Linked DNA regions of Mytilus edulis. The main gene of each other region encodes a partner of the protein of the gene in region 2 in a complex. Links are inferred from orthologs where the notes say so. Each region holds a gene or a part of one and is shown on either strand. Other genes may lie near its edges. The genes, in order: WASH complex subunit 1-like, WASH complex subunit 5-like and WASH complex subunit 3-like.

The links.
Region 1: WASH complex subunit 5-like (region 2) and WASH complex subunit 1-like share a complex: the UniProt entries of both Drosophila melanogaster proteins name them as parts of the WASH complex. The link is inferred for Mytilus edulis from reciprocal best matches to the Drosophila melanogaster genes Strump and wash.
Region 3: WASH complex subunit 5-like (region 2) and WASH complex subunit 3-like share a complex: the UniProt entries of both Drosophila melanogaster proteins name them as parts of the WASH complex. The link is inferred for Mytilus edulis from reciprocal best matches to the Drosophila melanogaster genes Strump and CCDC53.

Annotation. Positions count from the first base shown.
Region 1 is NC_092344.1:31,571,248-31,581,737, forward strand, and holds the start of WASH complex subunit 1-like, read right to left. Parts: upstream 4,959-10,490; 5' UTR 4,769-4,958; intron 1-4,768. Other genes in the region: uncharacterized protein, read left to right, coding at 6,417-6,453, 8,163-8,229, 9,026-9,201, 10,146-10,490. UniProt on the Drosophila melanogaster protein: Acts as a nucleation-promoting factor by activating the Arp2/3 complex to induce actin polymerization. Participates in both linear- and branched-actin networks.
Region 2 is NC_092344.1:109,305,759-109,316,841, forward strand, and holds the start of WASH complex subunit 5-like, read right to left. Parts: upstream 5,427-11,083; 5' UTR 5,100-5,426; coding exon 4,875-5,099; intron 2,807-4,874; coding exon 2,700-2,806; intron 1,988-2,699; coding exon 1,903-1,987; intron 1-1,902. UniProt on the Drosophila melanogaster protein: Acts at least in part as component of the WASH complex which may regulate wash nucleation-promoting factor (NPF) activity and is required for its membrane targeting during endosomal sorting.
Region 3 is NC_092353.1:26,955,701-26,966,548, reverse strand, and holds the start of WASH complex subunit 3-like, read right to left. Parts: upstream 4,602-10,848; 5' UTR 4,514-4,601; coding exon 4,463-4,513; intron 1,991-4,462; coding exon 1,826-1,990; intron 1-1,825. Other genes in the region: transportin-3-like, read left to right, coding at 4,828-4,944, 10,432-10,521. UniProt on the Drosophila melanogaster protein: Acts at least in part as component of the WASH complex which may regulate wash nucleation-promoting factor (NPF) activity and is required for its membrane targeting during endosomal sorting.

The DNA.
Region 1 (10,490 bases), about 78 Mb from region 2:
GAATTTAGCTTCTTTGTTCTTCATAGCATCCTAATTTTTTTTATAGATTCTTGCACAACACAGTTTGACCTCCAAAACTGTGTCTCAGATTTTTCCTATTGTATTTCATTCTCTCATAAATCTTCAATGAAGTTTACAAAATCAATTCATTAGAGACCACTAAATTCAATTGGGTATAAAATTTGTTCTATTGATGTTTTTGGAAATCTGAGACACAGTTTTGGAGGTCAAGCTGTGTTGTACAAGAATCTATAAAATATTTTGGGATGCTATGAAGAACAAAGACGCTAAATTCATTTAAGTGTGGACATCACAATATAGCGACTAATTACATAATAATTAATTATGTAATAATTATGTCATAATGAAATTATCACAATTTGAAAGATTAATCTTTCTTCTTTCTTTTGGTACCTCATTTATAAAATATAAAGAAGGATGAAATGAATTACATCAGTTTAAAGTTGTCTGATTAGGAGTGAACAAATCTTTGTACTGTGCTACCTTAAATGGTTAAATATACAACTATAAGAGATAAAATATTATTTGATGTCTTTTTTGGACAAGTTGTACACCTTTCAGAATGAGGCACTTTGGAAGCCTTGTATATATGGTCTTGTATACATTCATGTTTTTGTTAAATACTTTGCTTAATCCATTGTGAAAGTGAGGTTGGTGAGTATTGTCTGTAAATTCCAGACACTGTTTTTTCTGTAAATAAAATTTAACTGATATTTTATTTTTTCAGTAAAAAGCTGTAAGGAGCATGCGTATTTCCGTATTCAAATTAACTTTTAAGTATTACAGAGGGTGGTAAAGTGTTATTTCGTGCAACGTGTTTGGCCATTTTTATTTCACGTGAAGCCGTGAAAAAGGTTCTTTATTCACCGTGTTTCGTGAAATCGATAAAAAGATCACCGTGCAAGGCATTTTTAATTGTTCGTTCATCGTGAAATGGCAGTTTTATTTCGCGTTCTTCCATGCAGATACCTCCCTTTACGCCCCTCATTAAAACTAACCACCTGACAGTCATGTGACTTAATGACCTTGAAGTTAACTTTGCATGCAAAAAGACCTCTGCCATGAGTTTAGAAAATTCGTTTATTTTAGACCGATTCTTTTGGAAGGTAAAACTAGTATTAGCAAATGATTAGTGAAAAGGGTACAAAAATGTGATATCAAATAAAAAAAACGTAAATACTTAATATAATAACTTTATTTGAAAAATCTTCACACCACGTGGTATCATTTGCTATTGTTACTAAGTATAGCAGCGGAATATGACGTCATGCGGCAAGTGAAAGTAGAATTAGGTCGAAAAAGTCAGACGGTCGAAAACACAATACGAGACGATATAACAGAGGGGGGATAGGACCTTTATCGGGACTCCAGGATCGGGTGTTTTTAAGCTCGGGATTTCGAGATTGACCCTTTCGGGATCCGGGAATCCTTTTTTTCGGATTTTGGGATGTCGGGATTTGCTTTAATTAAATTCAGGACCTCGGGATTTCGTTTTTTCAAGTCCGGGATTTCGGGATCAAGACCCCTCCTATCCCCCCCTCATAACATGTATTATAATTTCATGAAACCTAAGAATCAATGAATGTTATGTCAAGTATTTATAGTACACTATTTCTTCAACCTAGAATACTATATTTGCATAGACAATAGTAAACACAACAGTTGAACTATTCTTCTTCTTTAAGTTTTCCAGTTTTCCATCTGAATAAAGATGATTAATAACTGGTGCATACGTGGCCTATTTATTAAAATTAAGTTATATTTACAAACAGTGCAAAGAACAGATGTAGTGATTAAAACTATGTACATGAGATGAAGTTTTTTAAATAATAGTGGAGAGAACAGCATATGTTAGCTGATCTCTGAAAGAGTCGACTGTCTGTGTATTTACTACTGTGGTTGGTAAAAGATTCCATTGAGTTATTGTGTATGGGAAGAATGAAAATCTGTACGAGTCTTTTGATGTATAAATATGTCTGAAGGTGTGAGAATGATGTTTTCTGGTTCTTGAGTCTGATGGAATGAGAATTGTGCTAGATGGTATAGCAACAAGTTGATGTGTGATCTTGTACATCATAACCAGTCGTGCACGCAGTCTGCGTTGTGTCAAAATAGGCCAGTTTAGTGTGTTCAGCATGTTTGATACACTACTAGTATTATGATACCTGTTGCAGGCATACCTAGCAGCTCGCCTTTGGACCATCTCTATCTTTGAAATAGATTCTGAAGTGTGGGGGTCCCAAACTGAGCAAGAGTATTCGAGTTTGGGACGGACAAGTGCTTGGTATGCCTGGCTCTTGATGTTTTGGTTTGATGTTTTTAGATTTCTTCGAAGGAAGCCGAGAGTTTTGTTGGCCTTTGATATATTGTCATCTATGTGTTTGTCCCATTTAAGGTTTGATTGTAATGTGATGCCTAAGTACTTAGCAGATGTAACAGATTCTAGTATATGATTGTGGAGAGTGTAATTATGTTTTAAAGGTTGACGTTTAGTTGTTACAGAGAGAACATTACACTTGTCTGGGTGGAAGGCCATCAGCCAGTCCTCTTCCCATTTTGTAGCTGCGTCAAGGTCAGCTTGCAGTTTTAGGCAGTCACTCTGGGATTTAACTGGCATGTATAAGATACTGTCATCAGCAAATAGTCTTAGTTTGCTATGTGTAAGGTAGTCTGGAAGGTCGTTGATATACGCCAAGAATAAGACAGGACCTAAGACAGTACCTTGAGGAACCCCAGAGGTGACTGGGACTGTGCTTGATGATCTTCCATCCAGAACAACTGTCTGGGTTCGATCAGAGAGAAATGCAGAGATCCAATTTAAAGTGTTTCCATTAATGCCAAAATAGTGTAATTTGTATAGTAAGTGACGATGCGGAACTTTATCAAAGGCTTTCGCAAAGTCCATTATTACAAGGTCTGTTTGTGTATTTGAATTGTTTGTGGATTGAAGTTCTTGAATGAAGGAGAGAAGTTGTGTCTCACAAGAACGAGAGTGCCGAAAGCCATGTTGAAGGTCGTACAAGATGTTATTTGATTCGAGATGTTTCATAATGTGTGATGTTACTATGTGTTCCATTAACTTGCAGCAAATACAAGTTAATGAAATAGGTCTATAATTGACCGGTTTATGCTTATCCCCTTTTTTATATGCTGGTGCGACTCTAGCGTGTTTCCAGTCGTTAGGTGTAATACCAGTGTTGTATGATTTGTTAAAAATTAAGCATAGTATTGGTGCAATTTCTGTCTTCATTTCTTTCAGTAAGCGGCCACTGATGTTATCTGGGCCGGTGGCTTTATGTGGGTTGATCTTATTTAAGAGTTTTTCGATCCCATTTGGTGTTATATGTAATTCGCTGATATTAGGATGTGAACTGATGCCTTTGTTTGGTATTGGGTCATCTGTAACTGGGGTAAATACAGATTGAAATTGTTCGTTTAAGAGATTTGCTTTCTCTGTGGCGTCTGTAATGATGTTGCCGTCTTTCTTTAGTGCAGAGATACCAGATTTGTCAGTTCTTATTGACTTGATGTATTGAAAGAGTTTCTTAGGTTTGCTCTGATTTTGTATTTGAATGTCTGGTTCATTAATTGGAAGATCACATATAAGTTTTTCAATATATTCCCAGTAGGCTTTCCTTTGATCTTTTTGTACCTGAGCTTTCATCTTTTTATATTTCTCCGTGTATTCGCTGTTTTTTCGCTTTTTGTAAAGTTTGTTTTTCTTGTTAATTTGTCGTCTTAATTTATCAGATATCCACGGTAATCGATGTTTGTTTCGTAGGATTTTTGATGGAATGTGTTTTTCGACAGAGCTGATGAGTTTGGTTTTAAATAGTTCCCATAGCTCATTGGTGTTAAGAGAATCATAGTTGTCAATGATTGATTTGTAGATGGTACTTATGTCAAGTTTAATTTCGTCCCAGTTGGCTTTGTTATACTTGTATACTTTTTGTGGGGTTTCTCTTATTCTCTTAAGCCAGATGTCTGCTTCGACATAGACAATATCATGGTCGCTTGAACCTATTGGTGGTAGTGTGGTTACTTTGTTGATGTATGTTGGGTTATTAATCATTATTAGATCTAGTATGCGATCATTTCTTGTTGGTGTATTGACAACTTGATGTAGGTTTGTGTCATTCATTATATCTAAGAGATTTTGGTGAAGTTGTATGTCAGGTTTGCCTGGTATTGTGCTTGATGTTGACCAATCAATATGTCCCAAGTTAAAATCACCCCCCACAATAATAGTTGCATTTGATTGACTATTGATACGATTTAGAGATTGATGGAGTTGCTCTAGTGACAAACCTGTATCAGATGGTGGTCTGTAATAGGATGATATTAAGATGTTTTTTGAGCCAGCAATATTGATTTCTGCCCAGACTACTTCACATTCAGTTTCTAGTTCTTTTACCTCTGAACTTATGAATTCTTTTGTGATTGCTATAAGTACACCCCCATAGCTTTGGTTGTTGGTACTTGGTGCCCTGTCATTGCGATACACATTATATAAATCTGATGGAAAGTACTCATAAGAAGAGGTGTTTGGTTCTAACCATGTTTCGGTACCTAGTATGATATCTGGTTTGACAGTATCAATGATTTCTAGTAGGTCCTGTTTTTTGTTTTTAATATTCTTTATAGATAATCTCAAACAACGCAGTTCAAAACACAATTTTAAAAAATCATGGTGCTCAGTGAAAAGGGGCGTGTAAAGTGTGCTTATGAATAATGGTTTTTTATTTACCTTTTCCAGATACTATGGTTTGAATATTTTCAACATGAATTACATAATTAGAATGTGAAAATGCATTAACAGTATCATATTGTCAAATCACATAATTTGGGCTAAAGCTTCAAAATGTTTTCGGCTTGTCTACTTGATCACGAGAAAAAGTTATCGATGAGAACTTCGTCAGTTCCGCCTCTATATTCGTGACGTAGAACACATAATAAGATGTATCAATATTTCAAACACTAGCTTTTCCAAAAGCTTGTCCAAGTATAACATTTATTGAGAAGAATTTTATTAGTTTAAAATCCATGCAATAGGATTATTGTTATATTATCGTTTATTAGACTCCACCTGGTAAAATGTCTCATGATTTGAAAATTAATTTAACGATGTTACAAATTGTAGTACTGAAAATACTGAACATCGGATGACCACAAGTTCTTGTGAATGGTCACAAGCACTTGTCCATCAGAAAAAAATCACATCTCTATAGATGAAAGCAGAGACATACAATACAATTGTATTATGTGTCTCTGCTGAAAATGAGGTTAATGTACAAAGATGTATTTTTTTCTGAGACAAGACAGTCGTGCGTTGATGATGAATAAATGGCAGAGAATTCAACCTCACCATTATTCTATTATATTGTAGTGATACAGATCAGTATACTGGTTTGTTCTTATTTACAGTAATGTAGTACTAGTTTATTTATATTTGTACATGTATATACCAGTTACATCAAGGATTTGTATAGGTCTTAATTACTAGGCTATACAAATCCTTGGTTATGATGTATATATAATGTTCATCCATGATATCATCCTATTATACTATTCTAATAATCGCAGTGCAAGTATTTCAGTGAATGTTGGATACTCTCCTGTTATAATGCGATTCTTATAATAAATTTGATTTGATTAGGAACGTTCATATTTTCACGCAAACTTTCTTATATTCTAATATTCGAGTCGTCTCGAAATATACGTATGTTGACACTATATTGCTTGTAGGTACACAGATGTTCCGTTTGTACGCATTAAAATGTTTTGGCACAGATTAATTAAAAAAAAAAACAACAGTAAATTGAATAGGTAACTATTTATGGTCAATTGCATGATTTTTATTCAAGAATCGAGAGAAATGACGAACAATATATATTAATAGTTCTTCAACAAAAGGAAATAAGAATGCCACGTAAAATATAAATGTGCTGCAACCTAAAAAAAAAAAAAGAAGAAGAAGAAAGAGCGCTTGTTTATACATTCAACGTTTTTAAATGGCTTCTACTCCCGGCTTCTACTTAGTAAGTCTTTTGAATGGACTTAAAATTATCAACAAGTCAATATCTCAATAACATCAGATCAATCGATTCTGTTCTGGACAAACCAATTAATGTCTATTCTGTTTCAAATTCATCTTGCATGTAGTCTGTAGACATATGTAACTGTAAATAGGAATCTAAATTTGTTCGTGAAGACACTGGATAAAAAGCATGAAAAACATAAACAATTCCGTAACTTGACAGTTCACGTCATGGATCTATTTTTTAATTGATTGAAGAAAAGTTAACCTGGCCTTTAAATTGATAGTTGATGTTTTAAACTTCCTGGCCGTTTAACATGAATAATTTGGAATGTATTATTAGTTATAATCAAAAGTAATGGTTTTTGATTCAATATGGATTTTGTTTATTCAGGGTAAGAGTTAAATTTTCCAATTTCAAGTTTAGAACAGACATGCATGTCCAAACGTTTTTATCTCAACAGTTTGATTCATTCATATTTTCGAAATTCAAAAGAAACCAACGGAACACCATATCTTAATAATGTTTCTTAAAATGCCGACAAAATAAATTCGGAGAACTTTTTGAAATTCTAGAGTGTTCTACAAGTCAAGTCTAACATGTATGATGAGTTAGGAATAATTTATTATAATAGTTATTGACCCTTAAGCGTTACTTTATTTTTTTTTAATATTTTGAAATGCTTTATATGTTTATTGCAACGATCTGTTAAAAAGATATATGAGAAATTACCATAATTATATCATGAATACATTATATATCTTTAAACATGTATCTATAATTATTCTCGTTGTTGTGCATGTAACCATAGCGCAGTAATTGCGTACCTTTAAAGTAAATATTTTGATAAAAGGTTAAACAAATCTTTTAATATTCATTCATCTGAAACATTTTTATAATGCAACTTCATATCTTTTAAAACAAATCTACAGTGTGTTTAAAGTAAACATTTTAAAAGCACAATAATATGGCATACTTAATCAGTATATATTTAATATCATTGTATAGGAAAGATTTTTAACCGAGTGCTTCGGTACTGACATACATTACGAAATACCTTTAATGAATTACTCATTGATTAATTGGGAAATAAGTAAGAAACTTAGCTTCAAATTGACTCAGGAAAATTTGATTTCAGGTAGACTTGGCAATTCTCTATAGGTCTTAAATGAGGGCCCTCATGGGGTTTTTGATTATGTGATTACTTGGCCGTTTTTTTAATGATTATTTGATTATTAAGCCAAATATTTCATGATTATTTGATTACCTAGGACTGTATTTTTAGTTTATGATTATTTGACTACTAAAGATAAGCAAATATTTAATGATTATGTGATTATATTGGCAAAAAAAAAGGTGATTATGTGATTACTAGGACCCCTCATGAGGGGCCTCTTAAATCAAGTAATCGGACGAATATATTTATAAAGTGTTATTCAATAATTCGTAGCTTCTGTAGGTTTAGGGATGTTTAGAACTTGGCATAATTATTGAACGAAGTCGATGCAGACCCTCTCAACTCTAAACATCTGCTTATTCAATACTTTGTCCTTAAATGCTTGAGAATGAGTAGGATGTCATTTTCGGCATGATTAATTACATATGACTCTAAAAACAATATGGGACGGATATAGTCATCTCTGCGGTTACTGTTTTGATTGTAAGAATCATTTTTTTTTGCAAAAAATGAAACTGGCAATACTCAATAAAATATGAGTTCGAAGCGCTTCTATAGATTTACATTCGACAGGAACACTCAATGCAAAATATTTGAAAGCCAAAAGGATGTATAATACCGAAACAGTCGAAGAGACATCTGACCAAAAAAGGATATAAAATATTAGCAAAAATAAATCTAAAGTTAACTTTGCTTAAGGTGTCGAAACCTTACTAGATTCTTAATAATTTTTGCTTAATTTAATCACCTTTTCAAATATATCAAGGTTTGTTTTAATGGCGAAAACCATGCGGCCCTCCATCCTCCTTAGATCTTTTAGGGAAATATGATAAGGTTTATCTGATACTGTTTTGTCTGCCAATCTATACATGTCAAAACAAAAAAAATGAAAGTAAAATTGAAAGTAATCTCTGTATATGTTTCAGTACTTCCGGTGTTTGGTGGTTGTTACTACCACTACCAATACGAATACCATGAATGTAATACTGATGTGTAAGTATTCATTAACATACACAAGAATTATCACAGATAATACATATGCATAAGGAATACAAATGAAAAGAATATTTTTTATATATTTTACTTTTCATGTTAATAAAATTGAGAATGGAAATGGGGAATGTGTCAAAGGGACAACAACCCGACCAAAGAGTAGACAACAGCCGAAGGTCACCAATGCAGCGTGAACCTATTAGAAAACATTTATGAAACCTATTTTTCATTTTTTTTTATGAAAACATAGAGGTTATCTCTTGAATTATAATTATATTCAAAGACACAATATTTTCACACACGATTTAAATGCAAATGTATATGAAAAAAACAAGAACATATGTGTTGCTCAGAAAACCGAAACATGAACCTAAGAGTCGCCCTCAATGAAACCAAGGACTTATTCTTTTGAACTGACATTTCTTTTTTTCTATAAATAATGCTTTATCCCACAACTTACACGGATTCTTTTAAGAAAAGTTATCGCTTCGACACACACATCAGACATAAAAAAAATGTCTATAGACTGCTCATTCGATATTCTCTATTTAATATATCTGAATTTTGAAATCGAAAATTGAAATCCACGATCTTAAGTCGAACTTCAGAATAACATATTTCAATAGCAAAAGTGCCCAATCAGGATAAGCCCTTTATTTCCGAGGTTGTAATGTCCGTTTCCAATTTAGTCTTACCCAATACATTGTGCAGATAAATTTAATATTTAAATCAGATCTATAGCCTTTACTAATACAACAAACATGATTTCATTTACTTTTTATTTCATTATGTTTAGAGGAACTATCATTGGTGCAATTATTGGTGCTTTGTTTGGAGTAGCCGTTATAGGGGCTATTATCACCACAATATGTTGTTGTGTTAAAACCAGTGGTATTCGTGGTCACGTGATACAACCAGACACTTTATCAAAACTAAATCAACATCAACATCAACACACGCTACAACAGCAGCGTAAGTAAAAACAAATGATATAATAAGAATCATCATTTTCATGGTTTTACATAGTCTCAACATAATAACGTTACAACCATATTTTTTTTATCAAACAAACTGCATGTTAGGTAAATGTCAAAGAGAGGCGAAAGATTCAAACTCATTGGCAGAAAATAAACGCAATGTTATAATTTCTCATTGTTGAAGACCAAACGGTTGCCTTTAATTGCTTACAACAACTTCATTTGAACATTGGTGTCTACAATAGTTAGTCATGTACTTCAAATTGACTTCGGCATGGCTAAATAAGAAAAATGACAAACAGACAAACAGACAAGCAACAGAACATACACCACAACATAGACAACTTAAAAGAAGCAATACGAACTACCCCGAAAACTTAGGATGATCTCAGGGTGACCAGGTCCTGGTCCACATGTGACAACCGTAGTGTAATTATTGATATATCATAACCATTACATTTAATCCACTTTGCCTTTGGTGATAAACGTTTCATTTTCCTTTCGTGATACGTCTTTAAAGGTTTAAGTTTGCATTTGTATTAAGGCCCTTCTGGCATGTTGTGATGGACATTTAGTTTATCTTGTCAATGGCTAAATAACACAAACAAATGCTATTAGGAAACACATGAACATGATACTGATTGAACCAAACTTATTACAACAAGTCAAACATATTACACAACGTTAGTTCATCAATAAAAATAGGATCGAAAAGAAAAAAAGTCAACACATGCATTCATCAATTTTAAAAATAATATCTGATATTTATTGATCAGATAATCAAATTGTCCTTCAAATATACCTTATGTAAAGTAATGTAAGGGGACCCATCTAGTAAAATATAGAAAAATCATGATTTATGTGAGTCAGTATTTATTTTGAGATGATGAAATATAAACATAATAGATAATGATCTTGTTTATTCGTTTATAACTTCAGAATTACCTTCAAAACAGAAGAAAAGCAATAAAAAACGCTCACGTCACAAAAAAAGCTCCAAGAGTAAGCATCCGCTACCACAACCACAACAGATTGTGGCATATTCTCCTCCGCCAATATATGAACCCGGCCACCTTCCACCTCTACTGGAACATAGTACATCATATTCTTCAATACCATCACAGGAAGCCAGTCATCGGACACCGATACCACACCACAGTACGTCCTCTTCTCCAACACTATTACAGGAACCCAGTCATCAGACACCTGTACCACACCACAGTACGTCATATTCTCCAACACTATTACAGGAACCCAGTCATCAGACACCTATACCACACCACA
Region 2 (11,083 bases):
ATCCGTTTCAAATCCGTTCATCATCCGTTTTATCCGTATAAATACGTCCGGTAGAAGTCCGTTTCTCATTTGTTCAACATCCGTTTTATCTGTTAAACGTCTGGTAGAAGTCCATTGGTAAATTTATCCTCCAGACCTGCAACGGATGAATAACGGAAATGTAACGGATACAAAACCGAAACGAAACGGCCGAGTACCTTTCAAAAGGAACGCCTAATGGACTTTCAACGGACATTTTATCCGTTGGACGTCTGTTCAAAGTTTTGAACATGCTCAAAAGTTTCCAGCGGACAGAACGGACGTCGACGGATAAAACGTAAGCTTAATGGACATGCAACGAATATGAACGAACGTCTAACAGATAAGAAGGGACGTCTAACGGACATGAGCGGATTGAAAAAAAGTTATCCATTAGGCATCCGTTCGAGCTATCCGGTAAGGTGTGACCGAGGCTTAATCTATAAGTGTATAGATGTCCAAATTTACATGTCTGTATTATTTGTTCATATATACATTTTGAGATAAATAATGAAAATACAATATAATAGAAAGATTATTAGTTTGTGAAAGCTCATTCTACAACTTTGGATTTGATAAAATAAGATGTAGGAAAATATACTTTTCTGATTTGGCCAGTCAAAATTGTTCCTGGTATAACATGTAAAGATTTAGAGGGAGAATACTGATAACAAACTTAAAACAAAACTGTGTATTTTTTTTGTTGTATTTTTCACAAGGATTAGGAATGGTATACAAATCGCTGGAAAAAATATGTTTTGGTATTTAACCGATCTTGTAACTTGTGAGATATCTATAAATGCTTAAATGTTTTTGCATTGATAAAGCATTACTTTGAAATTGTTTTCTTCCTTTACGATGTTGCCCTGTTTACATTTCTAAATTACCAAATAGTAAATTTGTAGTTGTCCGGTAAAGTATAATGAATTTCAAAAGGGCAATGTCTATGCAAATGTTAGAAAATCTTTATCTTTGATCATCAAATATTTCTAAGACTTTTTGAACGAGACAAAATTCTTCACGCCAACTACTTTTATTCAAATAGGAAAACATTAATTTAGAGATTACTTATTTGTAATAAATGAATGTTTTAGTGTCAATATATGGAAACACATTAAAGAAATCAAAAGTCTGACGATATACCAACCAGTGCAAAATTGAATTGTATACAGGACTGAGTATCAAATACAGTAATCTCAATCAGTCATTTATATTTATTTCACAAGTTACAAGATCAGCCATATGTTCATATGCCTGTTACAAGTCAGGAGCTTCCTTCACCTGTTCCAAGTAAAAAATCTCACATGTACATGTGACTCATAAGTCTAGAGCCTCACATGTTCATTTGTTTGTCCCTTCTCAGAATCCCAAATTGAAATGTTCAAGTATCTGTTCTAAGTCAACAACATTGCATGTTTATGTGTCTGTCAGAAGTCAGGAGACTGACATGTTCGGTTGCCTAGTCAGGAACTTAACATGTTTATGTACATGTCCAAAGTCAGATGTGCAAGTGATTGTCATAATCAGGAACCTCAAGTTAAAGATACTTTGACATATTCTGTTAAAAAGAAAGAATCTCTAGTATGTGAATTAAAAAACAAAAAACATAAGAAATTCCATTTCACCCTTATCAAAGAACTTGCATTGGGAAATTTATAATAATACTTTCTTTGTGTTATAAGCCCAAGCTTATCCATTCTACTTGTATTTTGAAATGGGAGTAGTGTAGTGAATATGAATAGGTCTTTATCTCTTTCTACCTTTTGCTAATGCTTTTCAAAATATATAAAATTGAGAAAGGAAATGGGGAATGTGTCAAAGCGACAACAACCCGACCATAGAGCAGACAACAGCAGACAATGCTATATTCTAATGGTTTCTTACCAATAACTGTTTACCATCATCATTAATCAAAACACTTTCCAATGAATGTTGTATGTATATTCCTTCTTCTAAATCTTCCAGGAATCTATAACAATCAAATTATAGAAGCATGATCAATAACATTTTAATCTTATCAAATTTAGTATCATCAATTTGAATTATAAACTTTCTAACTTAAAGCACTGGAGAATGGCCTTTCTGATATGGTATACTGTAAAAATAATAGAAAATCCATTCAATCAGACACAATCTTACAAGTGCAAGTATAAATGACTACTTAATTTTTACTATGATTTAATCAGACATGCTAACTGTTTCTCTTTACAGCTTATTTCATTATTTTTGTACAAACAAAAATCACATTTAAACTAATCTTGTAAACATTAGAAAAACTTGTTCAGATTTCTTCGAATAAGAACTTTTTAAGGACAAACATTTGAACCATGTAATTATGTTTCAAGACAGAACTCGATCAGGCCTAAAACTATATCTATCTCCTGGATAGTACATGTAGCTTCAATCTTAAATGAAATCATGTAAATGTGTTAGAGCAAGCAAATAGAACTTTGAAAGTTTTAAAATAAAAGTCATGATATAAAAAATTATTTAATATAAACTTACAGCCAATTGCAAGTACTTTTAGAAATGAAAACATTATTTTCCATTGTATTGTAACTTATCACTACAAAGATAAATATCAAACCTCAAAACTGTTTAATATTTTTTTATTATACATAGTACCTCATCCATCAAGGATACATGTACCAATTTATATATGGTTATCCAGGTGTACTTACTTTGTCAAATCTATTATATATTTATGTACACTAGAAAAAGCTTGATAAAATCTTGTCAGAATTTCAATGTTATTTTCCCTGAATTCTTCATCCAAATCTTGAAGTTCCTGAAAGAAGAAGAAAACAAACTTTACTTTTCGGACCGAAACCGGTCAAGCTATGAAACATCACCAGGCGCTGTGTATTGGCATATACATGTACTATATTTTTATGCTTTCATATTTTCCCCTGCACCTAATTAATATGGCTTATACTAACGAAAGCTCCATTTGGAGTTAATGTGTTCAGATTAATTATGTCAGTAAACTTTTCCTTTATTGCTAATACTTTTGCAAGAAATCAAGGGCAATTCCTTTCAAATAAAGGCACAAACTCTGATATGGTATAATACATTTTTGCAATAAATAATTAGTACATAATGCCATTTGGATGATGAAATGCCATTTGGATGAAGAAATGGTCAGCTGTATACATGTTTATATAGATATTAGTATATCGTTTTTGTAACATCTGTTAAAATTGTCTTCACTTTTTAGAGTTGTACCAGTTCATATTGCACATAACTATTTTTATTTGAAGCATATCTTTGCTGTCTCTGTTGTAAATACATTGTAGCTATATAACCTACATCATGTTTAATAAATTTTAGAGTTGTACACGGGCATGTCTCTATTATGTTCAGATTTGACTGTTTCATTGTATAAATTTCAAGATTGTTCTAGTTTTATAATCAGAATTGATTGATACAATGTATGATTCTTTTACATCGTGATCTTACTAATAATATATCTGTTATTGCTCATTTTATTGTTATTTTTGGTGATGTTGTACCCTTTTAGACTTGTTATATATTATATTTTGTAGTGTGCTGTATCATAATTATATGATCCATTGCCCCTTAAGATTTATAGTTGGCTTTTTTCAGTCACTTGATATTTTATAATTTATAAATATATATATATATACAATGTACATGTATTTGAATGTATTTAGTGCATTTTCAGACAGATCTTTTCTTCCCTATTTTATGCACAGCTAGGTCAAATTTTATAACTTTTCAAGAAGTCTAAACAAGTGACAACTCTATGACAGATCCATCCATAGGATCATCATTGAAGGTGATACACAGCTGAAAACACATATTTATTCTAATTACTCTAAATACATGAAATATTAGCACAACCATGACAACAATGTTAAATCTGTAAATTCGCTGGGATTCAAAGTCATGCTATAGGGATATCTGGACAACACTACCTGCACTGTGTCCAAAGCTCAAGACCACTCAGCCACCTAGATGAAACTAATAATTCAGCTTTTAGTGGGCTAGTGTTACCTTTCCTCGTCAGTACTGAGTAGAATCTAGAGTTGTAACACAGTACATAATATATTAGACATGAAGATTGAATTGTTTGCAGATTAGCTAAATTTCTATTGTAAATGATCATTATATAAAAGTATACAATGTACTGTATAGAAAAACAATTTCTTGTCTCAAATTTTTTAAATTTGAGACAAGTGGGTCATGATGCGTATTAGTTTCTCCATAGGCGGTAATAGTTACGTTTTCTTCTGTTGCTCAGTCCATTTCGTTAACTTGGATATGTGTGATGGCTCGTTTCGAAGCTGAGACATTTTGACATATGTGGTTAAATTTTCGGGGTACAAAGTGAGATTACTTTTTCCGTAAATTAGCAAACCCTGAGTATCCTTTTGTGATGCGGCTCCTCAAGGTAAAAAATCCCATTTTTAACACAATAATTTCTATGAAAATTAAATACTTTGAACACATTTAATGACTCCATAGATTTTACAAATTTATTCTGTGTTCCCCTTCTTTCTTAATTAACACAAATGGTTAAGTTCAGTCATTTGTTTATCATAAGAAGTGTCAAATATCACTACACAGAGATTTTTTGTTTACACATGACTTTTGAGTTCCTCATTTCAAGGTGCTTTAGTAATATTGTCCCAAGTGCTGTGGCCTAATAAATGCCTAAAATTATCCAAAAAAGTAAGGCAAGTTGGTCTGGAGCGATTTGGCAATGGGGTGAGTTGTCATAGATTTGCATAGAATTAATTTATTAAAAGTGGTCACATACAATAAAGCATATATCTGTTTATTTTGTAAACAATTTACAAGGTAGGCCTAAATGATTATTTCCAATATCTTACCACTTTGGATTCAATCTTATTGTCAAAGTATTCTGCATTTCTAAAGTAACTGAAATCACTAATAATGTCAGCATATTTAACTTTTTCGTGTTGATTTTCCTGTCTAAAAACTGGTGGTATTACTTCTGAAAGTCTCAATAATTCAGCAAGTATTGCATTTCCCCTTGACACAAGGCGTAAAATATTTTGACCACACTGGTTATTTTCTGCAAGGAAATCAGCCATTGCTTGTTTCTGTAATGTTAGTTTGTGCTAAAGACAAGTCGAATCTAAACTCAAATCAGAAAAAAAACATCAGAAGTTACGCCCACTCTGCCAGGCACTCATGAACATGTGACAACCCTCAACCAACTTCAATTATCCTCAGGGTAAGTGCATCTGAATGCTACCGTAACTTATTTTTTCAATATAAAATGTTGTCTACTCAAACAGAAACTTGTGTTTCTACTCTTCACAGCACACTTTCCTTGTCCATTTTGGTGTAAAGAGCAGACAGATAGTCAACATCCGGAAACAGCCACAGCGACACCTATTATCATTAGTAAATTGAGTAAAGTCAATAACCGACCAGAAATCATATACAACAACGCACAGCAAAGGACACAAATATTCAATGTACACATTGTGACCCATGTTTTTAAAGAAAGAGCAAGCACAAAGTAAAAATGACAACAAATAATACAAGAAGAAAATAGAAAATATTAAATTATAGAGAATAATAATGGAGAAAATACAATCTGCAAAAATATTAAATAACTGTAACCAAAATAAATCATATCAAATGACCAATACTCGAAAAGAAAAACCTGACATTTTCCACTAGTAAAAAATTTAAATCTGATTTATACTAGTAGGAATTTTAATGTCACCTTACAAGTAAAGATAAGCACATTCCGACTTTCAAAGAGAATCCTGAAATGCAAAAATTAGATTAACATGAAGTTATTATAATTACAATTGTGGTTAATCATCTGATTGAAGCATACGACTAACTCAATAGGAAAACCTGAAAGATTTTTGACATGATAAGATAGCTGTGAAAATGTGCTATGAGAAAAAAAATGAAAAAATATAGGGTCACCGTACGGTTTGGCTACATAAAATAATGTAAACTTACATTACATAATACTATGCTATCTTAGTTATTTCCCTGATATCACATTTTTGTTTCAAATTCACATCGTTTGAAAAGATTTTGTTTAATTTTTCTTTTATTAAAATTCTCATATTTGATAGATAACCTACTAAAACGTATATCCAAATAATAAAGGGTCTAAACTAATAAATGATTTACAATGTATGGACTCGATAATATGTATCAGCATTTCGTGTGTACTTTAGTCTAGACGACATATAATTAACCATCAAGAAGACTGCTGACGAAAACCTGACATAAACATAAATATAGCTATAATACATTGATAGCGAACACGTGCAATTGGATTTTTCTAGGGTCTGTTTGATTTCATATTATAGGACCTATGCTATAGGTTAAAAACATATGTTAATCGTCGTTAAACAACGAGGAAGTACGTTCACAATGGGTGCCATATATGGAGCAGGATCTGCCTTCCCTTCCGGAGCACCTGATATCCGAATGGCCCCAGTGCAGTTTTTGGTGGTTCGTGTTGCTTAGTCTTTAGTTTGTTTGATTGTGTCTTGTGTACTTGTCTGCTTGTCTTTTTTTCTTCTTTTTAAGCCATGTCGTTGTCAGTTTGTTTTCTATCTATGAGTTTGAATGTCCCTCTGGTATCTTTAACCACTCTTTTCTTACGCTGTATAAGAATGAGATTTTGTATCGAATCCGTCGACAAATTCTTTACCCTTTTATCCTTTTAATAGCTGACCAAGCCTTGTTAATGCGTAACCCATCGCTAGCTAAGGAGTTAAATGTAAGATCACATGCATACGGATTCAATTAGGTAGAATTATTCACTTGCAAGTAAATAATTAATCAGCGATATTTCTTAGCTTATTTTGACCTAATATAACCAAACTGGCTGCTTAAGGCGAATTATTATTTCACTGTTTAATTTTCAAGAATGATTGAAAAAAAAATCTCCGTAGTTAATGCCCCTATAATATAAGATATATTCCTTTAAAAATCTTCAATTTAATGAAGTCTTACAAATAAATACTAATTATGCATCAAATACTAATTTCAAGCTGTTAAAATCTAGACAAATCATTTTCAGCCATTTACAATTAGATATTTTAACTGACTAAAACTGACTTCCAATCTACCTAAATCTGTGTTTAGTTTATTTTCTCCTGAAATTAGAAAACAATGAGAAATAAAATTGAGAATGGAAATGGGGAATGTGCCAAAGAGACAACAACCCGACCATAGAAAAAGCAACAGCAGAAGGTCACCAACAGGTCTTCAATGTAGCGAGAAATTCCCGCACCCGGAGGCGTCCTTCAGCTGGCCCCTAAACAAATATATACTAGTTCCGTGATAATGAACGCCATACTAATTTCCAAATTGTACACAAGAAACTAAAATTAAGATAATACAAGACTAACAAAGGCCAGAGGCTCCTGACTTGGGACAGGCGCAAAAATGCGGCGGGGTTAAATATGTTTGTGAGATCTCAACCCTCCCCCTATACCTCTAGCCAATGTAGAAAAGTAAACGTAAAACAATACGCACATTAAAATTCAGTCCAAGAGAAGTCCGAGTCTGATGCCAGAAGATGTAACCAAAGAAAATAAACAAGATGACAATAATACATAAATAACAACAGACTACTAGCAGTTAACTGACATGCCAGCTCCAGACTTCAATTAAACTGACTGAAAGATTATGATTTCATCATATGAACATCAGGCACAATCCTTCCCGTTAGGGGTTTAGTATCATGCCATCATAACATATATGAGAAGAACATAACCCGTGTCATGCCAACAACTGGTTTTTGAATAAATGTGTTTAGTTCCGATGCAAAGACCCTATAAGTGAATCAATATTAACGCCAAAATATGCAATCTTTAATGACCTGACAACAGTATTGTAACTATATACCTTCTTAATAAGTCTATTCAAAGGTTTTGTTAGTTTTTGAGGTGAATACTGACACCTTTGTGCTTTATAAAGAATATTTCCATAAAAAATTGGATGTGAAATACCTGAACGTATAAGAAGTCTGCATGTTGAGCTATATTTACGAATGATGTCCTTATACCGATGATAAAATTTAGTAAATGTTTTGACTAGTTTGTGATATCAAAAAACCCTGGTGTAATAATTTTTCAGTAATACATAAAGTTCTCTCGTTAAAATCTAAAACATTGTTACATACACGAGCGAATCGTACAAGTTGAGATATATAAACACCGTAAGATGGTGACAAGGGAACGTCACCATCTAAAAATGGATAATTAACGATAGGAAATGAAAAATCATCTCTTTTACCATAAATTTTAGTATTCAGCTTTCTGTTAGTGATATAGATATCAAGATGAGAATGAGAAAGTATGCAAAAATAAATTATTCTTTACATAAGTCGGAAACATCCTTTCGGAAAAAGAAACATTATAACTTTAAGTTGGAAAATTAGTTTACAAGGTTTACAAATCTAATAAATTAGACTTTAAAACAGTGCAACACGCTTGCATTATTCAAAATATTAACGATATCAAAATGCATTTATAAGATTTCCTCTATAAAGGATCATATTTTACAAATCATTATTCAGAGTATAATCCTGTTGACGTTCGTGTTCTTAAAATCAATTCCACAGACTATCAGTAAATTCACAGAGTCAAGCATGTACAAAATAAACTTGGGTGATGATTGTCATTAGGTTTCCGTCTGTAATTGTGCAGGAAAATGTAATATTCTTCCTTGCTAATGTCGTAAAGCCAACAATGTTTGTTCAACAAGATGTCATCAACAAATTATTAACAAACTTGGTTATTAATAAACTGGGGTTTTTTTCGAAGAAGAAAGTATACGTTATAGATGCACATCTGTTTTGTCAGAATTAGTTTGTAGCTGTATTTTAGGTTAAAGTAGTAAAAGAACACTAAGAACTGGTAAATATCGGTAGTTAGATGGTGTGATTTTAAAGTTAGTCAATCTTGGACGTCATTATCAAGTAAATGAATGTCGAATATATTATGTTATGTCCTTTCATGTGTCATTAAAGTGCAACATACTAGTAGCATTATACACATTCTAAGTCTTACTATATGTCATGCTCGTACTTATTTTCTAGTTTTGACTTTGATCTTTGTATTATTGTAACCGAATGTTATAATTCTCTTGGCTGAGGCGCCTTCAAAATGTAAGTTACTAACATCGAAATATAGATATACTGATATATTGAAACTACATTGTATCTAATAAGAATTAAGCTTCAGATATAATAAAGATTATTGGATTTCAAATTAATTCATATAATTTTTCGTACATAAATGACAGTGAATTATAAGCCTCTAAAGGCTGGTTGGTATAAATATACATTCCTCATTTCATGCATTCTCAATGTTATGTAAATTGACTGCTCATGTTTAAAATTGTAATATATTGAATTTCATGTATAAGTACCAAGTTGTACTTTAAAATCAAAATATATATTTATCTATCAATAGAAGACAGTTCAGGAACAAGATAAATTTGAAGATAACAGACATATCTGCTGACAACTAACAAAACAGACAAACGCTCGTTTTAACGGAGTACAATACTGTGCTCTGGGTGGTAGGTTCTTCCCAGTGTTTCGATAAACGAACCAGAGCTCCCTTTTCATCCCCTTTCTACCCAAAAGCACAATAAGTCGACTCTAGGTTGACGAGTTATGAATATACATATTCTCATTTGTTGTTATCTCACTAACAGAGCATTCTAGGAAGAATAACTACAATTTTCCTAACTAGCAAGGTCGCCATAAATAATTGATTGATTATTTTAAAACAGTTTCTCAGATTCCCAACTAACATGTGACATTTGTATGATCCAACATATTCACGAATACTTACATCTAACATTAATGCCGATGTGGTGATAGTCCTGACATTGAGAATTACTATTTGAAATGACTTTGTGTGGTGGATGATGCATGCATAGCAGGGAATGTTTTACGTGTCTTTGCACCTGGCACAAACTATGTACTCCCAAGTACTGAATTAAGTTATATGACCTAAGGCCTGATCTGGTTCCGTTAATTATAGGTTCGCTATATTCCACTATCATGTTTTGCTAGTGTTATATCTTGACATGCTATTAACTGGACACTGCTTTGATATATTAACTATCACCTCTAAGGTATATTTGTCTTTTATATGGGTGAAAATGATAAATGACAGTCTGCTGTTTGTTTATTTAATTTGTGAACAATAATATGTTAATGTACTAGGTTCGGTTTTAGAAAGATAAATGGATTTTTATAGCATTTCACAGCATATATTGTCGCAAAAATGCAATTTCTAATGGAAATATGTCTACAACCAGGATATCCTGCGGGACTCAAGCTATGGAAATAAACCACTAAAACGTCATTTAATGATCATACGACAAAGTTAGGACACATTTCTAAAGCGTAAATATTGTTTTCATTCTTGTTTATGTCAACAGTATTAATATATCATAAAAACCGATGGTAAAATATATTTTGACAATGAAACCTAATTCATTAATAAGAGACAAGAAAAAACAATGATTATATCCACCAGAATACGATCATAGACACGTTTTGGACAATGTAACTGATTTAGAATTATGACAAGCTTCTCAATCTACACACCATCTTTATTTGTTCCGTATTTAACTTCCACGAAATCCACAATTAACATAAAATCAATATGTTTCACTTTTTTTTGGCCAGTAAAACGGACCTTGTTCTGTGACATCAAAGAAACTCGTCATAGATTTCAGGATTAAAGTTTTGTACGCCAGACCGTGCACGTTACGTCTAAAAAACATCGAATCGGTGAAGATATAGACGACGAACCACGTACAATTCCGAAAGGCTTGCAACACATGACCTATTGACAATCAGTATTGCTTTGTGGCGTCAGACGTTTTCTCTTGGGATTTCAGAATCTTACATGAACGTCCGTGTTATAGGCCTACTTATAGATTATCAGTTTCTTCATGCACATTGATATCGTAAAATGTCAGCTGCAAACCACAATGAGAACCTCTTTGGCGTGTAATTGATATGTTTAATCAAAGTCTTAAAGGATCCATTTATCCTAAAATCACC
Region 3 (10,848 bases), on a different chromosome or scaffold from region 2:
TTTCCTGAAATCTGATGATGATTATTCATCCTATTGTCAAACATAATTTTAGGCAATAAGCATGATAAGTAAACTCTTGAATTTATGAATATTTGGTGATTTATTCTTGATAAAAAGGCGTTTCTAAATGATATTTATAAATATACGTTTATTTGACAGATCTTCAAAAGTAAGTTTATTTAGTAATTTCAACAGTTAAAAAACAGAATTCACTCATACTTTTTCATGTTTTGTGGTTTACAAAATATTAAAAGGATTTAAAAAAGTAATTGTATGCAACTAAAAAAGGGGGGAGATTCTACAGAATAATTATAATATTCATTTGAAAATTTGTACACTTCACTAGTGGAGCTGGTTTGAACAGGTCAAAGATAGACAAAATTAAGATATGATTTTGTGATCACACCATTTTCCAATTTTTTTATTGAATAAGTAAATTTTCTTAGTTAACAGTTCTAAAACTTATGATAACAAAATGATATTTACTCAAATTTTCTATTTTCTTTGACGCCAATACTTAGGACAGCAGTTAGGACAGCATAGCTAAGATAATCCTAAGATAGTTGCGATGTGCATGCTAAAACATGTTGTAAGTCGGTCCTAACTTTATCATAATTTATGTCCTAAGAATATCTTAAAGGACCGCTCTTAGGACACTTTCGATAAACAGGCCCCAGTTCTCATAATATTATTATGTAACACATTGGTTTTATTTAAATGAATAAATGTCTTTTATTTACTTGCATTTATATTTTAGGCATAGAGCTAAATGCCTGCACACATTTCCAGGATTTAAGACCAATGCCTGACATCATTTAGGCAACAGACTTACTGCCAAGGCATTAGTTTGTTGCCTAGGATTTAAGCTTAATTCCTTATTTCACTTATTGCTGCCAACATATATATATTGGACCTGTAACCATGGCAACAGAAACCCCAAAAATTAAAATAAAAGTTATTTTTTTTATCAGGGCATCATAGTTTTAGTTTGTAACCCAAATTTGTTTTTTTCTCTATCGATTTATGAATTTTGAACAGGGGTATACTACTGTTGCCTTTATTTATGGGCTTAATATTGAAAAGAAATTCTAAATCTGTGACATTGGTGTGAACAGTCCCATGAATTTGTTTGTTTTTACAGAGAATGACACTTAAGAATACACAAATGCAGCCACTTCCATTTAAGACGACAACTGTCTAAAGTTGAACTCAAATGCAAAAATTGTGAAGATTTTGACTTAATGATGCTTGTACCAGATACACATGCATTGTATTGTCAAAAACAGCCCATATTTATGTAGCAGAAGTATTCTGCTTTCCAATAAATAGCTAAAAGTTTACATTATAACAATTTTGTTAAACTGATATATTTTGGGGCAAAAAATGGGTCTTACTGAATAACTGATCCTACTCCTTTGTATGCTAGAGTTATTTTAAAACCTTAATTTTGTTAAGCAAATATATTCTTACAATACATAACAATAATGAGGATGGATCATGAGGGGTGTTAAATGGTCAGCAGAAAATTACAATGTAAAGGCGTCATTTTAAAGGTTATTTTAAAGTAATATGAATATAATCCTGTTTTGAACTAGATGGACACACTGAGTCGGATTATCAATGAGATAAATAACCAGGTAAAAATCTGCAGGAAGACACATCACCTAAGCTGGACACATTGTTCTGGCTCCAAGGAGACCACCCACTGCTCTTACTCCTTAATGATGCATCCTAATTAAAGAGCAGTAAAAACAAATTCAAAATCTTTCTTTGACACACCCAAATACCTCTTGCACACCAGACCACTAAGGAGTAAAAGACAAACCTTGGCCTCTAATAAATTCATTGATACTTCCAATTCCTGAATTCTATTTGACATATGTTCTAACTTTTCTTCACACACAGAAGAAAATCTGTTGAGAAATTTAGCTGTATGTGTAACAAAATGGTTTATAAATGCAACAATTCTCTTCTGCTGAATAGCTTCCACCTGAAAGAAAACAAAAAGTATTCTTTTTTAAAAAGTATTCTTCTCTTAATATACAACAAATATATCAGTACAAAGTCTTCTATATGTTTTAAAATAAGAATCTCCACATGCTGTTTATACAAATGTAAAGATGTTATGAAAAATTCAATATAAAAAAAGTCGTCTATATTTCTGTATATGATTTAAGAAATATATATACATCAGGCGCATAGCTCCCTATACGCTAACACGCAATTGCGTGCACATTGATTCAGCAAGCAAAAAAAAAAATGCCAAAATAAAAATTTATAAATTAATTATGGTTAAAGCTAAAAGGAAACACATACGTTGTCACTTTTTTAAATGATGAACTGTCATTAAATAACGGCATTTCAAAACAAACGTTTTATTGGAGATCATGTAAAAATCGGACAGTAACTTGTATCTTTTACCAGATTTGAATTTATTATACTCAGTCTAAGACGTGTAGTTTTGGAGTACATTTTACAAAGTAAGGTATCTGTTTGCGATGCGATGTACCAATCGACCATTAGATTTATCGAAACCCTTTGATATTATTGAAAATATGCCGAGGCGATGTATTCGACAGACTACCAGAGCCAATCACCCTGAAAACACGCCAAAACAGCATTGGAAAGTCTCATTATATTTTGCGTTCACACACGTAGACCATATGATAATGGAATTGGAGAGTAGAGGGTGTCTGGTATTATCAGAAAAAAGCTTCTTTGTGTCGTATCTGCTTCCTCGTGTTGTAGGAAATATAACCAATGAATAATTCTCAACATTGTCTGAGACATACAAAATGACCTGGCATGTATTTGGCGGACAATTTCAATCTGGAGGTCGCTCGATTGAGAACACGTATGTTGGTTTATAACATCTCGCAAGTGCTACCATGCAGATCTATCAGTGTATTAAGTCTATTGAAAACAAATGTAAGATCAACAATGAACAACGACAGGTTATCATCGCTAGCATTACTGCATATTGATCGGGATTTCAGGGTGAATGTTGACAAAGTAATAGAGAAGTTCGTTTCTGCTTAGACCCGAAGAGCAGATTTTGGTCAATCTTGAGTAAATTCTGTAATTCAAAAATGTGTTGTTTATGTATTAAATTAACCATGATTTACTCTATTCAGAAGATTCAAGTATTAATAGGTTTACGTTCATAAATTGTTTATAAGTCCTATCTACATGTAGCTCCTCTCTAAACCGTCCTATGACCGAAAACCGAAAAAAAAATTTCTGCATTAAAGGGTCCAAATTTTTTTTAGCCGTAGTTGCTTGCACATCGTTTTCTTCTAGCTACGCTTCTGTAACAAGATGTCCAAATGACATTGAAATGTACTACCGCTGGAGTGAGCGCATAAATAATTTTTGAATAAAGAATAGGTGCAATTTAATTTATATACAGGTGCAATTAAAAACATGTCATTTAGATCTAATGACGGAGCTGAGCCTTGAAAGATTGGTTTCCCCTCATATGTTTTTAACATGTTTTACAAAAGGAACAATGTTTGACAAGGGATTTTGAAAAAAATAATGTTTTAAATGAAACATGAACTATAGGCACTTTTATTTTCTTCACATCTCAATGAAGTTCCAAATATCATGAATATGATTTGGATATGTACACCTCTTGAGACCATTGAAAAATGAATGTTTGTTTCCCCTTATGTGTGAAATATTTTTTTGATTTATAGAGAGTATTGTAAGGGTTTAAGGGATGAGTGTTTTTTTTACATATGACCTTTTCTGGCTACTCATAATCAGTAAACACTCACTTCTACTTTTACATTCTTTCTTTACTGTTAACCAACACGTATACACTGACATTTGATGAACATTACATACACTTTTATTGTTATAATATGCAAATATTGTTAGTTATATATATAATTAGATCTCTGGAAATATAGTCTTGAGATTACTCTGATGGCAAACGGCTGTTTTGCCAGACAAGCTGTGAAAACTGTTTAAATATGGAAAAACAAAGTGTGGCAGGTAGGTGAAGCTTACATAAATGAAGAGATAAATGAAAAATGAACAAATTGATACCCTATTTATATAATTCCAAGGCTGTTAGTTAGCACCAGAAGCGACGAAGCAGCGCATCTATTTTGGACAGGCAAATATCCACTTTTTGATATGGGACGAGTTTTGACATCCGACGACCCCAGCTTGTCTGGCAAAACAGCCGTTGGACGTCTGAGTAATCTCGGACTACTGGATATAATGATATATAGAGTTTGTCTTAACTGGTTGACCAGGGAGGATCCCCCACTAAAGGGAAAAATAAAGTTACTTACGGGGAAGCAACTTCTTCAACCTAATAGCCTGATATCTGATTAAATGAAAGATTTTTTTATTTATTAACTGAACACTGATTTTATTTAGCTCAACTGTCATTGGCACTAAATGACAGTAAATTTGTGAGTATGTATGACAAATGATTTCTTTAAGACACCTTTGTATAATCAACACCAGGTCCTACAAGAGGCAATCCATCTGAATCCATTATGGAGTGGAATATCAATTTGTTTGGCAGTCAGGTGGTATGGGTTGTATTTTTTTTTTTGGCAAAGTGAAACCGGAAGTAAATTTTCGATTACGGGGTGAATAAGAAATGACAATTAAATAATAAAATAAATATTTAAACTAATTTTATATTTCACTTAACTTTATAATATCTGTTTTTGACCACAAATATTATATGTGTGTTGTAATTCTATTTTATTTTTTTCAAAAGTGCGGGAATGACTTGGTGAATAACTTACTTCCGGTCAGTGCTCTTGCTGAAATTTCAAGTGACAATTCCTGAAATATACAGCAATGAATAGTGAACCGTCTTTAGAGACGGTTTATCAAGCTCTCCAAGCCCTTTATCAAAATCCAGACGTAAATGGAAAGGAAAGAGCATCAGTTTGGCTCGGAGAACTGCAACGTTCGGTAAGCAAACTGACCCGACTGCTGCCCCCCTTCCAGCAGTAGACTTCTGTTAAACTTGTATTAAAGCCCACTAGTACGATACATTATAAGATGCCTGTCTAATGATATCTGCCAATTAAGTTATAGCTATATTTCAAATCGTTCAACCGCTTTGCTTTTCACGTAAACAAAAAATATACATTATAAAAGATAATCATACCTCATTCTGTATCTTACTATCTCTATGTATAAGTTGATGATACAAATTCTAGCTTTTATTCAGAGAAAGAAAGAGATACCTATTGACGTCATTTCAATGGTGATGTCTCAGTCATACAACTGAGCAGACGTGCTTGGTCAGCTCTTCTTTACCCTCTATCTTAGTCCGAGATTACCCTGACGTCCAAAGACTGTTTTACCAGACAAGATAGGGCCTTGGGACGTCAGAGCTCGTCCCATATTAAAAAGTGGATATTTGCCTGTCCAAAATAGATGCGCTGCGTCGTCGCTTCTGGTGCCAACTAACGGCCTTAGTATTATATAAATCGGGTATCAATTTGTTCATTTTTCATTTATCTCTTCATTTATGTAAGCTTCACCTACCTGCCACACTTAGTTTTTCCATATTTAAACAGTTCTCACAGTGACCCATCGATTTCTGCATTTTGACATTCATTTTCAGAGATTATCATGTGACCACGAAAACGTATAAATATTTGCATATTTGAGTCTATAGGTCGTGAAGTTTCTCGTAACTTGATGTCCTTTTGAAAATAAAAGTAAAAATGTCTGAATCGATGGTTCACCTGGTCACTGTAAAAACTGTCTAATTATGAGAAAATAAAAGGTGAGAGGTATGTGAAGCTTACATAAATGAAAAATGAACAAATTGATATCCGATTTACAATGTACAGTTCAATTTTCGCGAAAGCCATCCCAAACTCCATACACCGAGTTTTTTCCTGGTGTGACACCAGGAAACTCCGACATCACTCCCTAAATTCTCGGAGAAATTTGGGAGTATTCCCTCCGACTTCCGCATAAATCCGTTACCTTTTGTTTATTGTATTAGCGACATCTCTCCCAGTCTGGAGTGACGCAGTGTCACACCAGGTAATAAATTGCCCTAATCCTTCTGATCTATGCCGGCACGCGACAGTCAAGGTATGCGAGATTTCTAATGTAATTAAACAATTGTATTTCCTGTCTATTGATTATCAGTTTATATCTGATTGCTTGAAACAAATAAAAGATTAAAATAAAAATCAAAACGTTGTTGTTAATTCTTTTAATTACTCTGTACATCTAAATCAAATTGATTTTGACTTTCGTTTTTTTATCAGTAAATAAATATTTAATTTACTAAAAGAGATATAATTGTGTAACAATAAACGGAGACTAACGCTGAATAAATTAGGGTAGTTTAAAGAAAAGTGACACGTCTCAAAGTTTTTTATACAAGTATAAAAAAAGAAAATATTATTCACTATCTGTTATGCTAATAAGTCTACGCCATTTCCATTTTACGATTACAAAATAAAAGTTTTAAAAAGCAAAAGGTTGTTGTTATTAAATGCTTTCAATTTCATTAAAGTTTTATAAAAAAAAATCTATACTTGATTATGACCTCGGTTTTTTTTTTATCGGTAATTTATATAACTTATGAAAAGAGACATACTTCATTGTGTACTTGCGTGAAAATAAACGGAAATTAACGCTGAAGGTATAAAATGTGAGAAAGAAAGAAAATTACGTGTCTTAAAACTTGTATATGCAAGAAAAAAAGAAAATACTTTTCACCATTCCTTATGCTTAAGAAGTCTACGGCATTTTCTCTTCACGATTTGTTAGCATTACTTTAGGATAAATAAAACATTTCGGCTACAACAGGAATACTTCTATAGCTGCATCAACTCGTCGTTGCATAATATTCATTTACGCACAATGAATGTAAACTTTTGTGTTGTATTTAGAACAGTGATCTTTAAATATTTTTAAAGCAATTAATTGCCGTGGGAAGACACGCATCTCAGTGATCAACAGTGCGTAGTTGAACTTGAACTTGACTTTGCTCACAATATTGAATGCTAAAAATAGTGACATCAATTTTGTCCACAAGATTTTTATTTGGCGGGAAATAGTATCATGTAACAGTAAACTCAGGTGACCTTTCTGGATAACCGTGGGAAAATTCATTCAAGGTTTAAACTAGCTTTGTAATGATTGACATAAATTTGTGTGCGTTAAGATTGAGGCTCTAGAAGGTACTTTTACAATTGATTAACCGGATTCTAAATTGTATTCCTTTTCTGAATTAACCAACATCAGCCTTTTATTTTTACGTTTCTCAGTCAACAGAGGACATAAAACCGGACATTATTTATACGTCCATAGTCAACACTATATATTAATGGTAGATGAAAACAGGATGCATGTCGTTCAGTTCCTGATGGGCGTTGGTAGAGATCCTCTGTGAAAATTTGCCGATCGTAAAAATCCGCTCCACATTTTTTTTTTACATATTTCTTTCTTGTAGAACACGATATAATTTCATTTAAATATTCTATTTTATAATTGTTGAAATACTTCTTTTTATATTTCGCCGAGGACTTTTAAACGAGCTGTAAAATACGGATTGCGCCAATCCAATTTTATTTTAAATAATTAAAGATCAATAACAGATCATAACGGATAAAAAACATGATTTTTTCTCTCCATATAATTAAATATTTAAAGGTTGTGATTATTGTGTTGTGTCTGGGCGGCGAATGTATCTCAGTATTTATGAATATAGGGCTGCCACATTGCATACAAAACTATTTGTCACTTTACAGTTTCTTTTTTAAATTCAAATATTTCAAGTCGGTAATCTACCGAGGTAGTGAAACATAATATTTTACGTTTCAAAATAAATTGTAACAGAGTTCACTTGTTGATCCGATAAATTAACTCTTGGGTTTAATTTAGATTGGACATATTACCGTAAAAAACATCATTTTGTTTTAAGCCAGTTGATATTAATTATATAATATTGAACTATTAATGAACCGAATGTTGCTCACTGAGTAGGTCATAAAAGGTTCTAATTGTGGTAAAATCGTCTTTGTTGAAAAAACAAAATTATGACCTGATCGGACTATAATGAAAATACAAAATAAGTGTTTTAATCGTATATTTATACGTTTGCACGTTGTATGTCATATGACAATGACATGGGCATATACATACAAGAATAATTATCTTATTTTAAATAAAAATGTCACACTTTTATCTGACAATGAAAGGACATTTAAATAACGTATTTTAAATCACTCAGGTGCAATCAAGATCGATTAAATGTACAAAGGTAATAAATCTGGCTAATCCGATGATGTTGTCACGCGTCAACTCATTAATTTTCAGTACATCTGATGGGCAATAAACCAATAAACAGCCACACGGTGTTGGGAGAGAATCTTTGGAGGAAAATGGGAGTATAATCCGTGATTCGCGGTGTCACACCGCTACACTCTGAAATCGGTGATTAGAGTTCGCGATTACATACTCTCTGGGCGTTCTGTATATAATTCCAAGGCCGTTAGTTGGCACCAGAAGCGACGAAGCAGCGCATCTATTTTGGACGGGCAAATATCCACTTTTTGATATGGGACGAGCTCTTACATCCCATGGCCCAAGCTTGTCTTGCAAAACAGCCCTCAGAGTAATCTCAGGCTACCTCTATCTGTGATGCAGTTTACTTATAGATTGCTCCTCTACTTACTACATTTTGTACTTTCAATTAAAGAATCAAATCCAATACTGTATAGTCTACGTAAATACCTGCATCAGCAGACACTCCAAAACCTATTATGGATGGGGGACTGATATGCCAACTGACATCAGAGGGCCTGTGGGGTGTCCTAGGGTGACTTAACTAATTAACTTCTCCCTATCTGGCATGGCTAAAGCTTAATTCTCTTGAGTGAAGTTGGGAATCCTTTTGTGATATAACCAATGAACTTCTCCCTGGAGCTTCTCTAGAGTGAAGTTGGGAATCCAAGGTAGACATATCCAACAAACTATTACCTTGGGCTTCTATAGAGTAAAGTTGGGAATCCAAGGATGACATAATCCATAAACTTCACCCTGGAGTTTCTCTAGTGTGAAGTTGGGAATCCAAGGGTGACATAATCAATAAACTTCTCCCTGGAGCTTCTCTAGAGTGAAGTTGGATATTCAAGAATGGTATAATGAATAAACTTCTCCCTGGAGTTTCTCTAGTGTGAAGTTGGGAATCCAAGGGTGACATAATGAATAAATTTCTCCCTGGAGCTTCTCTAGAGTGAAGTTGGGAATTCAAGGGTGACATAATCAATAAACTTCTCCCTGAAGCTTCTCTAGAGTGAAGTTGGGAATCCAAGGGTGACACAATGAATAAACTTCTCCCTGGAGCTTCTCTTGTGTGAAGTTGGGAATCCAAGGGTGACATAATCATTAAACGTCTCCCTGGAGCTTCTCTAGTGTGAAGTTGGGAATCCAAGGGTGACATAATGATTAAACTTCTCCCTGGAGCTTCTCTAGAGTGAAGTTGGATATTCAAGAATGGTATAATGAATAAACTTCTCCCTGGAGTTTCTCTAGTGTGAAGTTGGGAATCCAAGGGTGACATAATGAATAAATTTCTCCCTGGAGCTTCTCTAGAGTGAAGTTGGGAATTCAAGGGTGACATAATCAATAAACTTCTCCCTGAAGCTTCTCTAGAGTGAAGTTGGGAATCCAAGGGTGACACAATGAATAAACTTCTCCCTGGAGCTTCTCTTGTGTGAAGTTGGGAATCCAAGGGTGACATAATCATTAAACGTCTCCCTGGAGCTTCTCTAGTGTGAAGTTGGAAATCCAAGGGTGACATAATGATTAAACTTCTTCCTGGAGCTTTTCTAGTGTGAAGTTGTGAATCCAAGGGTGACATAATGAATAAACTTCTCCCTGGAGCTTCTCTAGAGTGAAGTTGGAAATCCAAGAATGACATAATAAACTTCCCCCTGGAGCTTCTCTAGAGTGAAGTTGGTAATCTAAAGGTGACATAATCAATAAATTTTTCCCTGGAGCTTCTCTTGAGGGAAGTTCAGCAGAGTTTCGCGAAATCTTTATTTCCTTGGTGGTCCTTGAAGAAAATTTGCTGGTCCTCACTATTATTTCTATTGAAAAATACTAAAATTGTGTCAGTCCTTTGAAATATTTTGGTGGTAAAATCTGTAGGACCACCACTTTTCATCATCTCTGAAGTTGGAAATCCAAGGCTGACATAGTCACTGACTTTGCCTGGTGTGGTGACACCTGCATTATGGCAAAATACTAAAAGGATCAAATACTTTCTTTAAATGCAACAATTTTGAAGAAAAAAAAAAAAAAAAAACTGAACACATGCTGACAAGTCATTTACCAAACTTGAAAGATGAAATTTATGTTCTTAAAATAGCAATTACATAAATAAATAATAAGTTTTGAGTATCAATTTGTGTGTTTTAGATGTATGCATGGCATGTGTCTGACCAGTTGTTACGAGAACATCAAGGACTGGAATCCTGTTATTTTGCTGCACAGACGATGAGAACAAAGGTAACATTTCGTGTGAATCTTCAAACATATATGATTTAATTATACTCATTATGAACTAGTTTCTAAGATTAACTTTTGAATCCACAAGTCCATAGCTCAATCCTGTATGAAATTAAAGTACATTAGATTGGAAAACAAAGTATACTGTAAACCAATTCTCAAATAGAATATTTACCTGAATTTAAATCTTTGCAAATTTGTATGACTTATCTTTCCTTATTTAACTTCATAAAGTAAATAAGAAAATCGCAAAATTAAAGCGCAGCGAAGTTGACTAGAAAGGACTAAACGTGAAATTAAGTATTAGCGAAAAATAAGTTTATTTAC